Regions from separate parts of the Mus musculus genome. Here regions 1, 2 and 3 are each reported to be linked to region 4. The links are microRNA targets in miRTarBase. Many come from high-throughput screens and were not tested one by one. Region 4 holds a microRNA gene; each other region holds the end of a gene's coding sequence.

Region 1 (3,047 bases), not on the chromosome of region 4:
TGCGTCATTTTTCTGACTTTTAGTAAATTCCACTCATACTGGGACATGTCTTTAATAGCCAGCCCACCCCATTCCGGGAGAGGGGTGTCTTCCGATGATTTAGAGGGAGATGTCACTGGGGTTTTGTTGTTGTTGTTTGTTTGTTTTTGAGACAAGATATCTCTACATATCTCTGGCTGTTCTTGAACTCACTATGTAGACCAGAGGGCCTCAAACTCAAAAGATTCGCCTGCCTTGGCCTCCCACGTGCTCTAGATCTCATGTCTCTCATATGAGGTTTTAGGAGTTCACGGTCTCTTGCGCCCCCTGGTGTTCATTCAGTTCTTCAGGCTTTCTGGCACTACAGCAACATGCTTATGATTGTCTTCAGTGGCCAACTGGTATTTAATTTATGCTGAATTATATGCCTAAGGTTTTTGCTCAGGTGCCAGGCATGTACATTCTGTTTCTTGAGACAGGGTCACTCCATGTATCCCTGGTTGTCCTGGATCTTGATATATAGATCAGGCTGGTCTTGAACCCAGAGATCTACCTGACTCTGCCTCTCAAATGCTGGGATTAAATGTGTAGCATATGCTGGGCTACAAGTCTTAAGGTAAAGTTAAGCCTGGTCACACAATTCAAGAAAAGAAATGGGAGGGAAAAGAAAAAGGAAAAAAGGAGAGGAAAGAGAGAAGGGAAGGAAGAGATGTATACAAGTGCTTTGCAAACTGTAAAACACTCTCCATACGCAAGGGAGTCATTTGAGCAGTCTCCTACAGTTTCCATTTATTATGTTACATTTCCTTATTGTGTGTGTGTCCACATGTGCCACAGTATGCATGAGGTCAGAGGGAAACTTATGGGAATCATCTCTCTCCTTCTAACATGTGGGTCCTAGGAATCAAACTCAGGCCGTCAGGCTTGGCAGCAAGCCCCTTTATCCACTGAACCATCTTGCCATCCCAGTCTTCTATAGTTTAAATCAAATTCCTGAGCACTGGGCAGCAGATTCCATTTGCAGTCATGGCATCAATGGCCTCCGTGATCTTGGACAAGCCACTGTCTCCAGCAGCCTGTTTCCATATCTGTGAAGTGTGGATCCACTTTTACCTCTCAAGGTACCTGCGAGAGTTCACGCATATCAAGTTCCTGGTGTATCCTACTCAGGCTGAGTGGCAGGGTCAAGCCACGGGCCATACCCTTGTTAACTCTGGTACCAGAATAACATTCTGGTAACTGGGCACAACTGAAGAGCACTCCTTACGCAGGGAGGCAGGACCCCAGGTTGACGGAAGAGGTAAGAAAGGAAAGCTGGGTGAACGATAAATTTCCAAGTGAGAAACTGACTGGTGAAGCCAGGCCTAAATGAGGACAGGAAACCTTACTGTCCGAGCCCTAGGGACGAATCTACTGCTATTAATGAAACGTTATCATCCGGTTTTAAGAATTTTTATATCACCCCACCCCCAACCCCCTACTCCCTGTCATTGCCATTTCCCCTAGTCACAAGAGGGTTCAACTAATAGTCTCCAGTTTGAAAGGTTCTGATTGTGATGTGACTTCCAAGAGCAAAGAGGTCAAGGCTGTTATCAAGAGGCCACACATAGCACCCACCTCTAGGCCAGCTTCCTTCAGAGGCCAGCAAAGTATATGCAGAAAGCATCGGATGAGCTGAAGAAGCCAGGTCTACACTGGTCCCACCGCACCCCACTGCTTGACTTTCATCTTCTGCCCTGGAGGGTTTCTGTGGCAACCGAATGAGATAAAGAATGGCGTGTACACCCAGCAGCCTACCGTGTGGATGTTCATTCAGGTGACCATTTCCCTCCCCCTCCTCTTCAAAGGCTCCAGAGGCTCGGCCCCGCTGTCCTTCACATCTCAGAGGAACCACCACCTTCTCAGAATTCAACTCCACGCCTTTGCAGAATGGCTGCCCTGGAATACTCTCCCCGGTGCCCCACATCCCCAAATAAGTACACAGGTTCTTTTCACTGAAGTGTTTTACTGGTGACCACTGAGGAGACAGACACAAGTCGGGGTAAGAAAACCAGGTAACAAGCATGGGAGGGTGAGGGTCCCTGGATTGTGGATCCCTGAGGCTTCCTTCTCAGACTGAAGAGGCCGGTCACCAGGAGGGCCATGCCCCCCCCCCCTCCCCAGCCTGAGGCTCTAGAGGCTGACACAGGATGAGGCACAGCAGGTAGGAACTCACAGGCTACTGCCGTGTGTGTGTGTGTGTGTGTGTGTGTGTGTGTGTGTGTGTGTGTGTGAAGCTAGACAACTTTGGAGGACCTGTAGACAACGACACCGTCTCAGGCACTACCCCCAAAGCCTGGGGACTGATGACTGATGACCCAGTCACAAGAGCATGTCCTGAGCCCATCCCATTTCCCCCACAGCTGAGGAAATGAAGAGTGGGCACTCTGAATTTCCAAGGCAAAAAAAAAAAAAAAAAAAAAAAAAACCTGCTGGGAAGAGGCAGGGTGTTTACTCAGCCCCTTCTCAGGATTTCCTGACTGCAAAGGCAAGAAGGGGCTGTTCCGCAAAGTGAAGGGTTTGTAGTCTTGGAGGCCACAGCAGGTACTAAAGGCCTCCTCCACCCATCAAGGTGGGCTCTATGCTCTCCCTCACTCTCCAAGCAGGCCTCTCCTTTAGCTAAAATCCTTCTCATCTTGCTCGCCCAAGTGTGTTTTCTGGTGTCGGATGAGGTTGGAGCTCCGGGAGAAGTGTTTCCCACACAGGGTGCACCTGTACGGCTTCTCCCCTCTGTGCGTTCTCTGGTGTGCACCAAAGTTGGAGATATCACTGAAAGTCCGCCCGCATTCAGTGCACTCGTAAGGCCTCTCACCCGTGTGGGTACGGTGGTGCACCCCAAAGCTGGAGCTGTTGCTAAAGCTCTTCCCACACTCACAGCAGATGTAAGGGGCTGGCTCCAGGTGGGTCCGGTGATGTACAGCCAGCGTGGAGCTCTGAGTGAAGCTCTTGCCACAAATGTCACAGCGGTAGGGCCGCTGGCCCAGGTGATCTTGCTGGTGCGTGGTGAGGTCCGAGCGCCGCCGGAAGCT
Region 2 (3,039 bases), not on the chromosome of region 4:
GATATTTATTATCATTTTTCTTTGTGTAAAGACAATACATGCTTATCATCCTAAAAGAATACAAAAAGTATATACAGAATATAAATTAGCCATATTGCTATCACTAGATAGAACCACATTTAAACACTGGTCTTTACAAAGTCAGATGCTAATGTACAAATGGTCATGTATATTTCAAGTGTAAGTTCCGCAACATTCTCCTACAGTCTCTGACTACATCGTGTTTAGTGGCTGGCAGTGTTCCATTTAGCTGTTGTATAATGTTAACAAACCATTTAACTGTTGCCCATGTTAGTCAGTTTTAGTTACTTTAGAATTTTGTTATTTTTATGAATACTGCAATAATAAACAAACCTGCTTATTGCTTTTCTTCACTGTGATTTTATTGATATAGTAAAAAAATTTCTCTAATTTGGGCAACTTTGGAGGGTGCATAAAGAAAGAACTCAGAGACAAAGATTAATTTAGTTGATACGGTTTCCCTATCGCTATGACGGTTCCCAGATTTCCCAATAACACCAATTTGGGAGATTTCTGCGCAGCATAAGAATCATTAGCTGACATTATTTTACACCAGGCATGATACTTTTTACACACCCATTTTAAACTACATACCATTACAGTGAGGAAAACAAAACCCTTCCCTTAGAAAAGAGAGACCATCATCTTATCAAAAATATTTTATTTACAAAAACAATCAATTATACTATACATCCTATAATGGAAATACATTGAATAATTGCTAAAATAAATACAAGGCAATTAATTCAACTTTTTATAAGAATGAGAAAAAATTTGACATTTGAACGTTATCAAAGCTTAACTTAGAACATAAATAGTTAAAAAGGCAAACTCAAGTTTTAGTTTCATTTATTGTCAGGGTGTGTTTGTTTCCCACTAGCTCTCCATACGGCGAGAGTCGGAGTTTTTCAGAACTTGAACGAACCTCTTTGTACTCACAAGGTAGAGTGTGCAGCTTTCCCTTAGACAGTATCTCGCTACAGTTGTGTGTGGTGTGGTAGTCTGCGCAGTGAGGAAGCAGAACCTTGGTGCTCTTTTTGCTTCGCCACAAGGCTTCTGTGCAGCTATTCCTGTGTTCTGAGTGTCTGTCTCACAGCCCTACACAGCACCAGCCAAGATAAATCATGTGAAAAGTCAAATTAACAACTGAGGCCCTGTTACAACTGAATTAGACACGTTTGGAGGAACTGGTGCGTCACTTTTTTTAATTTACCAGTTCTTAGTAATAGTAATTACAGGTTGACATCATTTCTACTTGTGGAGATTTTTAGGAAGGCCAAGTATGGAAGAGATGGAGAGATTACCTGTATAATTGAGAAAAAAAATACCCTTCCTGAGAAGTAAAGAAGCCACTAGGAACATAAATGTGCCAGGTCTGAATTGTGTTGTGTATCAGTTACAGTTCGCCCATGTAAACATCACTAACAGGCAGGGTGACTTGGCGAACCCAGACACTAACTGGAGGAAACACACTCATTGTGCATGTGAGAAGGTCTGCCACATTTAGGCCACAGAGTAAAACTTTTAATGAATTGCATTCTATTTGTCCCAATCACACAGATAAAGTCTCACCAGCTTTCCATTTTGTCTAGGCCTAGGCAAAGACTGCCACCATCTCTCCAGATGATCTGGCTTGGATGTTCACATTTATCCAGTACAAGGAGCCCAGCATTTTGTTTTGCTTTTTCCAAAGACTAGGATTCCCTTTTGAAAAAAATATATATTTTCAAAAATTGCACTTTTCTACCCTTTCGGCCTCAACTTTAATGATTGGCTCTTGTACACATGTGAGTATGTATTTTTACCTAAAAGTTGACAGGTATCTCGACCCTTTCTAAAAGAAATAAAATGTTAGAGTATTCAAACTTTACATTTCTTTTCACAGAAATAACTATTCAATTATAAAATGTAGAGAAAGAGAGAAACATTTTATTCTTTCATGAACATCAGTCAACCACGTTTCACATTTTGGGCAGGTTAATTTTTTTTTATAGTATGGATTTTTTTAGAACCTATTTTATTATATATATATATATATATATATAAAAGAACAAAAGTGTATTTTGCCAGAGAAGTAAAATATAGACTATGGTGTGAAATTTTGTTTTTAAAAATCCGGATACAAAATTTAAAACACAGTACAATTATTATATCAAAATACAGCATAGCCAGTGGCTTTCCAACTTTCCTTTGGCATTTCATTTGGTAAAGATGAACAATTTTCCTTAAAAACAAAAAATAGAAAGAAAATCATCAGCTATCAAAAGAGTCCATAAGTTAGGATGTGTAGGTTGAAAGAACGTTCCCTTGAGTTTTCAGAATCCTTTTCTTCCATGATCACCCACACAAAGCATGGCAAGTGAGGTATTTAGAACAAACACTGTCAGGCAGATGCACAGTAAGGGAAAAGTGCATAAGCCAAGACATCATCCCACCGTCCTAAAACTGTCAGATTTAATCGGACTTTCTTCTCACTGATGTATCAATTTGCTTTGGCAGAATAAAAAAGAAACCAACCCCCATTGAATGTCTTTGTTCAAGTCCCAGCAGCAGTGATATGTCTCCTGTGGTGGCAGGGTGCGGTGCCACAATACTGTATAGCCCCTTGAGGAGCTAAGGTGTGTGTGTGTGTGTATGTGTGTGTGTGTGTGTGTCTCCAGGTGTGACTACAAACATCATCATACATCAAGCACCATGTCATACTGTTGTCCCTTCTTCCGCCTGCCACACTTATTGATGAGAACCACATAGAGAGTCAAAAGCATGACCCAGTAGCATGCATAGATCAAAGTTCCCACGATGAGAACAGTCTGTTTGGATTCGGAAAATGGCTTTTTAGATTCCTTATAAATGGTGAAAATTACACCACCTAGAAGGATTGTAAACCACACGGACACTGGAATAAGTCCTATGAAATTAACAACAATGGTCTTCCTTCCAGATGTGCCCCACCCAGCTTTGTTTATGGTTGCAATTGCAAACATCTTGGCAGGAAGTAGACTTGACATGTATAACACT
Region 3 (3,047 bases), not on the chromosome of region 4:
GCCTCCCCTTTTAGGGGTAGGGAGAAGCTTGCAGATGTGGTGAGGTGGCCAATCACGCAAGTTCAAGGTGTCCGAGAGACCCACGGGAAACACCCGGACTCAGCCTACAGCTTGCGACCATACCGTGCCAAGCTCAGCTGAGACTAGATGAACCCTAAGTGTCTGTGGCTGCGTGGGGAAGAATGACATGCACGGCAGCCTACTGATGCCAAGCTGCAACCTCCTTAGAGCCTTCCCCCTCCATCCAATGCAGCTATTCTGGGATGTTGGAGTTGGTGTCCGCCAGTGTCCAACACCTCCTCTTCCCCCTTGTATGCCGAGTGTAAAGGCCGCCCTCAGGTGTGTATGGCCATTACCTCTTCCCTTGCTCTCCCTAGTATGATGGGCCCAGGTCCTCTATCTCTTGTCAGTGACAGGAGCCTCAGGCCCATGGGGACATCAGGATATACAGGCTTATGTTTCTCAAGTGAAGTAATACAGGAAACTGTAGAGATGTATAGGATTTTGTTGTTGTTTGTTTGTTCTGGGAGTCCGTGTGTATGATGAGGCTGAAATGGAGGAGTATCAATGAAATTTTAGCACAGATATATATTGTGCAGAGTGGAAAATTACAAATAAACTATATAATCTCCAAAAGCCTTACTTATGCTAAAATTTATTTTTATTGTATTGTTTGTGTGTGTGTCTGTCTGTGTGTGCGTGAATGCCTTCAGAGGCCAGAAAAGGGCATCAGATTCAAGTTGGAGGACAGGCAGTTGTGAGCCACCCTATGTGGGTACAGGGAACTGAACCTGGGTCCTCTGGAAGAGCAGCGAGGGCCACTGACTTATCCCTCCAGCCCTGAAGTGATACATGTAAACTCTGACATGCTCCAACATAACTATAGATGACCAAATATACAATAAATCAATTTTATTTGATAATAATATTAAAATCGCATTCACTGATTCATATTGATCATACAGTAGAACAATATGCTCACACAGCAGGTTAAAGCACACCGGTATATATGGCTGGACACTGCTCCGGAACCTGGCAGATATACCGTCAGCTAGGACTGGGGGTGACAACATAGTGGCTCCATCTGGTCTCTCAAGTCAGGAGCCCTCTGCAGTTTCCTTGGGCTTCTACAAACCGAGGTCTTTGGTGCAGAACATGATGGTAAGAACTCTGTGGCAACTTGTTATGTTTCCAAGGTTCCTTACTCACTGGTGCCAGGCCAAGGCCTGAGCCAGCCCACCACCTTATCGCTCCAGCCACATCTTGTCCACTTGTCCAGCCCTCCGGTCTGACAGATTTAAACTTCAGGCTCTTGCTGTATTGGGTTCCATGCATGTCTCTACCGTTAGATACTCAGCAATCTGCCCTCTGCTCCTCTGAGATCTTGTCCAGAGAGCTTGTGTCCAGAGCACACAATGTGCACCAGTCCTCCAGCTGAGAGGAAGTGAGCATATGGGAACCGACCTGCTAGGGAAGTGGGGGAGGATCCGTACCTAGGAGGCCCTTCCTGACTGCTGCTTAGCCTGCCTGAGTTCCGCCTCATCCCTAGGTGGGGCAAGGCCAAGCAAGGACTATCCTGAGAGTGTTCAAGAACAAAGGAGGGCATCAGTAGCGGAGGGCAAGATGCTGTCTTTCCAGGGCAGCTGCTGGGAGCCAGGCACTGGGCAAGGTTCAAGGGCACTCCCTTTGAGGACCCACTTCCCGTGCACTTCAGCACTGAGGAAACAGAGGCTCAAAGAAGTGCCTTAACTTCCTCTGGGCATTTAGCTAAAAAGGAACCATGTCTGTCCCATCTCCCCAGCATCTGAGACCCAGCAAGGGGCTTGGGAGAGAAAATGTACCAGGTCCTAGCAAAGGACCAAGTATTAGTGCTGTTTTTCAAGGGATCCAGGGAACTTGAGAGAGAAAGCCTGTGTGTGTGTGTGTGTGTGTGTGTGTGTGTGTGTGTGTGTGTGTGTGTGTCTGTGTGTGTCTGTGTGTGTCTGTGTGTCTGTGTATCTGTGTGTGTGTGTCTGTGTGTGTGTGCATGTGTGCTCATGATGGTAGTGGTAGGGTAGAGAGATGGTATCTGAGACCAGGAAAGAAATGTCTCACCCATCTCTCTCCTATCTGTGCCTTAGAGAGAATGACCTCTAGTTAGGGACCCTGAGTCTTGGACAAACCAAAGATGGACCTCAGCTCAGGGCTTGGAAAGGAGGCCTAAACCACAGACAAGCCTCACACCTTTCTTTGGGGCCACTCGCCCATCCCTCTCCCTCTGCTTAGAGGCATCTGTAAGACTGGACATCCCAGGTCCTTCTTTCTCCAGTGCTTGTTTCTTCATCAGCTCTCAGGGGCTCCAGATACCACTGGCCACATCCCTGGCCCATGGCAGGGCTTACAGAGGGATCCTGATGCAGTGCAGGGCAATTCTGTTCTCCGTAGAGAGCGGCTGCCCCGAAGAGTAGTCCAGGAGAAGCTGTGTACTCTTCCTGCCCAGCCTCGTACCTAGCTGCACTAGGGCAGAGCCCCACTGAATGTCATGATGGGAAGGCAGAGAAGGGAGCACAGGTCGGACCCAGTCTCTGCTGGCTGGCTGAAGGACCTCTCGGGTGGCAAGCTGCTCTTCTCTGGCTTGTAGCAGGGTGACACTTCACACCTATAGAACAGGGTGATGTAAGAAGGTGGCTCTGCAGGCTTCAGAGGACAGAAAAGAAAGACCCCCCTCCCCAGGCCCCCATCCTCACCTGACCACACTCTGCAGGATCTTTCTCTCATCCTGGTCTAGACACACGGCAAAGGGGCAGCTGCTAGAGCCGATGATCTGCACCTTGTCCACTTTGATGTAGGATGTACTGATCTGGAAGGGAAGCCCTAGTTCAGGCCCCAGAGCCCCGGTCATACATCTGCCAGCCCTGGGTGCTTCTTTGCCCATAGGGACTGGGAGAGTTTGAGACAGGACTGCCTGGCAGCTCTTGAGATGGAGTCAGAGGAGGAATCATGAGAACTATGCCAGGCCCTGTCTCCTCCGCAGCCTCTTACCGAGTCTCGAGGGATCAATGCACTGC
Region 4 (3,047 bases):
CAGCTCACAAGTCTAACCTTCCCAGGTAACTGGCCCATTTGGGTCTGGTGTACCTTCAATCTCTCTTTTTTTATTTTCTTAAAAGAAACATTTGAGAGCTGAGCATCTAAGATGGCTTTGGATTCACACCCACTGTCTGTGGAACAGCTTGAGGCTGACAAGATTAGCTCGCTGGAACGCTCTGGGATCCGTTCAGCCTAAGCTGCTGCCCACACACCAGCCTTGCTCACAGAAGCTGCTTTCCGCAAGCAGCAGCCCGCTTCACCTCCTCCATCCTGGCTCGTGGAACTGGTCCTTGATGTCCTACCTGGTCTTGAGGACAGTGGCTTCCAGCCTCAACCAGTCCTCATTCCCAGATTCCAGGATGTGACCATGGTGATGTCTCAGCCTCTCCAGAGGAGTCCGAAGGGTGATACTTCTGTCCTTCCTCCTCCCATGTCTAATCACCTGATTTTACAGAACCCAGCATAGCGAGCAGTGCTGCAAGCTTCCTTCCCCTCCCTCGGCTCTCTTCTTCTGTCCCTTCTTTCTGTAATATCCAAGGGGACCAGACAGAGTGGGCCTTGATAACACACATTCCCTTGGCTCCAGAGCAGTAGCTTCTAAAACCTGTAAATAAGACAGCTCTATGCCCCTGTGTAGACATACACCCCAAGGATAGGCTGGCTCCCTGGTACCTGTCCAGAGTTGAGAGTTCAAAAGACAGACCAGTGGATAGAAATGCTATCATGCCCACCCACCCCCACCCCGCCAAGCAAGGCCTGCTGGCTCATGTACCTGGCCAGACATTACATGAGCAACGGGCAGTAATTGTTGTCTAATCTCTTCCCAGAGGTTTCAACTAGTTCCAAACTGTTGTGGCTAATAAAAACAGAGAAGATTTGCAAGAAATTCCAGGTGCATCGGAACACTTTGGGGGATTGTGCAGCCTGCAGGCAGACGAAACTTAACTCAAATAAACATAAGGTAATATGTGTTGGCAAAAGTAACCTGAAGTGGGAGTATACAACTGTACGTTTCAAATTGGCTGCTGCCTGTAAGGATGGAGATTGGTAGTAGCTCAGAATGGATGAAGTGGGCAGAGTAGCCAATGTGCATCCCAGAATAACCGAGGCAAATCAGATCTCATCTCACACAGACCCCATCAGTGGCCCAAGATGGAGCACATGACAGATTCCGCAGTCCCACTTTCTACTTTAAGGATGAGGAGACATCGTGGAGTGGCCTCCAGATTTAGGGGTCTCCTGTGAGCCAGGAATGTGTGGTCATGTTCTCAATGGAGCGAGTAAAAGAAAGTGTCTGTTTTTGTTCATTGAAGTCATTGACTCCAAGCCCTGGAAGCTGCCATGTTACCTCCATCTGCTGCCTAACTCTCAGGGCCACATTTAGATAAAGAGCCGAACTTCTGAACTGCAACAGCCCTGGACTTCAGTCAATTCCCTACTTTCTTACAGAAAAGAAAATATTGAAAAGCTGTATTATGGTGTCTTATATGAATGTGCTAGTTTCCAGGATGGGAGGGGCTGTATATTCACCTATATTCACACACATATACATGTGTGCATGTGATATACATTCATGTACACCCTCCTATAGAAATAAGTGTATGTGTGTGTGTGCATGCATATGTGTATATGTGTATGTATGTGTGTGCATATACACATGGGTGTGCATGTGCATGAGTGCATGTACGTGTATATGCATGTTCTCTATTGATATGTGTGTGTGTGTGTGTGTGTGTGTGTGTGTGTGTGCAGGTGTGTATATACATATATATGTGTGTGTGTGTGTGTGTGTGTACATGTACATGTGAGTATGTGTGTGTATATGTTTGTACATGTGCATGTGTGTGAGTATGTGAATATATGTGTATATGTGTGCATGTGCATGTGTGTGTATGGTGAGTAGGTGTTACTAATTGTGACTCCGATGGCTGTGTCTCCATCTGGCCTAGGTGACAGGTAAGCAACTGCACTGATCTTTCACAGGTAGCAGCAGCCTTATAGGGCAGGAGAAGACTGGCACCTCTGCACTGGCCGTGACCTTACCTGCAAGCCCCCGAGGAACAGGAGCTTTTTTACTCCTCCATCTTCTGGCTTCCCAAGCAGGTGCTGATATCTTGACAGGGAAGGGGAAATGCTCTGTCCTGGCCCTCTTGCCTCACAGAACTAAAAGCTAAACATGGCTTCAACTACCTCAGCGGCTTTCTTCTCCCACAACCACATGCAGTAGAGAGGCCCAGCGCTGCAGAATACATCTGTGATAGGAGAGGAGAGCTTGGATCTGGAATGTTCTAGAAAGTGATGGAATAATTTGAAATCCAAACTGTCTAAAGGCTGAAGAAGAAAGGAAGCCATTGCCACCTGCAGGAAGCAGCCAGGTCCTTTTGACCTCTCAAAGTTCTTGGCTGTGAGGTTCCATCATTCAGCTGATAAAACAGAGGAACAAATGTTACACAGGGAAGTTCACAGGAAAAGGGTCAGTACAGAGTGTGCAGAGCTTCTGGTGGTATAAAAGCCAGTCACTGAAAACTAGGGACATGTCCTCAGTCCTTGAGACCTGAAGTCATCTCTTCTCTTCTAAGCATCCATTATACCCAGGATTCCACAGCCCTAGGCCTTCTGGAAACAAACTTCATTTCCCCAAAAATTGTCTGCTACCCTAATGCCACCGGAACAAGTTTTTTAGCTCTTGGGTTATAGCTCAATGATGAAACACTTGCCCAGCATATACAAGACCCCAGATTCCACCTCCAACAACAACACAAAGCACGCCAGTACATCTCAGCCTGTGCAGAGGCTCAAATTTCGAAGGAAATAGGAAATAGATTCATTCATTCATTTAGTGACTCTTTCTCTTCTGCTGTGTATGAGACGCTGTGTTAGGCAACACCAGAAATAAGGTAAAGATTTAGCAGGTGACCACAAACGAGAAAGTGCAGTGCGTTCTCCACTTTAATCAGAGCAAGCCAGCAAATAAAATGTTCTAGGCAGTTTGTCTTGGCACCAGCCACAGGAATTTACCTGTGACATCCTAATAAAGAGGAC

The links. Region 4 holds the annotated microRNA mmu-miR-466k (UGUGUGUGUACAUGUACAUGUGA, at 1,791-1,813, shown strand). A microRNA usually pairs through its seed, bases 2 to 8, with sites in the 3' UTR of a target mRNA and lowers its output. Matches are read on the target gene's strand: a 7mer-m8 pairs with bases 2 to 8, a 7mer-A1 pairs with bases 2 to 7 and ends in A, and an 8mer does both.
Region 1: miRTarBase lists Zfp691 as a target of mmu-miR-466k. Seed matches in the 3' UTR shown: 8mer at 2,245-2,252, 8mer at 2,243-2,250, 8mer at 2,241-2,248, 8mer at 2,239-2,246, 8mer at 2,237-2,244, 8mer at 2,235-2,242 and 15 more.
Region 2: miRTarBase lists Has2 as a target of mmu-miR-466k. Seed matches in the 3' UTR shown: 7mer-A1 at 2,669-2,675, 8mer at 2,667-2,674, 8mer at 2,665-2,672, 8mer at 2,663-2,670, 8mer at 2,661-2,668, 8mer at 2,659-2,666 and 8 more.
Region 3: the mRNA of Pik3r5 is a reported target of mmu-miR-466k. Seed matches in the 3' UTR shown: 8mer at 2,018-2,025, 8mer at 2,016-2,023, 8mer at 2,014-2,021, 7mer-A1 at 2,006-2,012, 8mer at 2,004-2,011, 8mer at 2,002-2,009 and 29 more.

Annotation. Positions count from the first base shown.
Region 1 is chr4:119,167,549-119,170,595 of GRCm38, forward strand. Zfp691 (zinc finger protein 691) reads right to left here. Exons shown (of 2, transcript NM_001145936.1): 2 at 1,968-3,047. The coding sequence ends at 2,634. Among named protein-coding and RNA genes, the nearest start is that of Zfp691, 5.1 kb to the right of the region's middle.
Region 2 is chr15:56,664,960-56,667,998 of GRCm38, forward strand. Has2 (hyaluronan synthase 2) reads right to left here. Exons shown (of 4, transcript NM_008216.3): 4 at 668-3,039. The coding sequence ends at 2,700. Among named protein-coding and RNA genes, the nearest start is that of Has2os, 23 kb to the right of the region's middle.
Region 3 is chr11:68,495,700-68,498,746 of GRCm38, reverse strand. It overlaps Pik3r5 (phosphoinositide-3-kinase regulatory subunit 5), which reads right to left. Exons shown (of 19, transcript NM_177320.2): 18 at 2,727-2,839; 19 at 901-2,638. The coding sequence ends at 2,497. Among named protein-coding and RNA genes, the nearest start is that of Pik3r6, 5.8 kb to the left of the region's middle.
Region 4 is chr3:85,465,606-85,468,652 of GRCm38, forward strand. Mir466k (microRNA 466k) reads left to right here and starts at 1,772; the gene lies at 1,772-1,893. All of the region lies in intron 1 of Gm31419 (a long non-coding RNA gene), which reads right to left.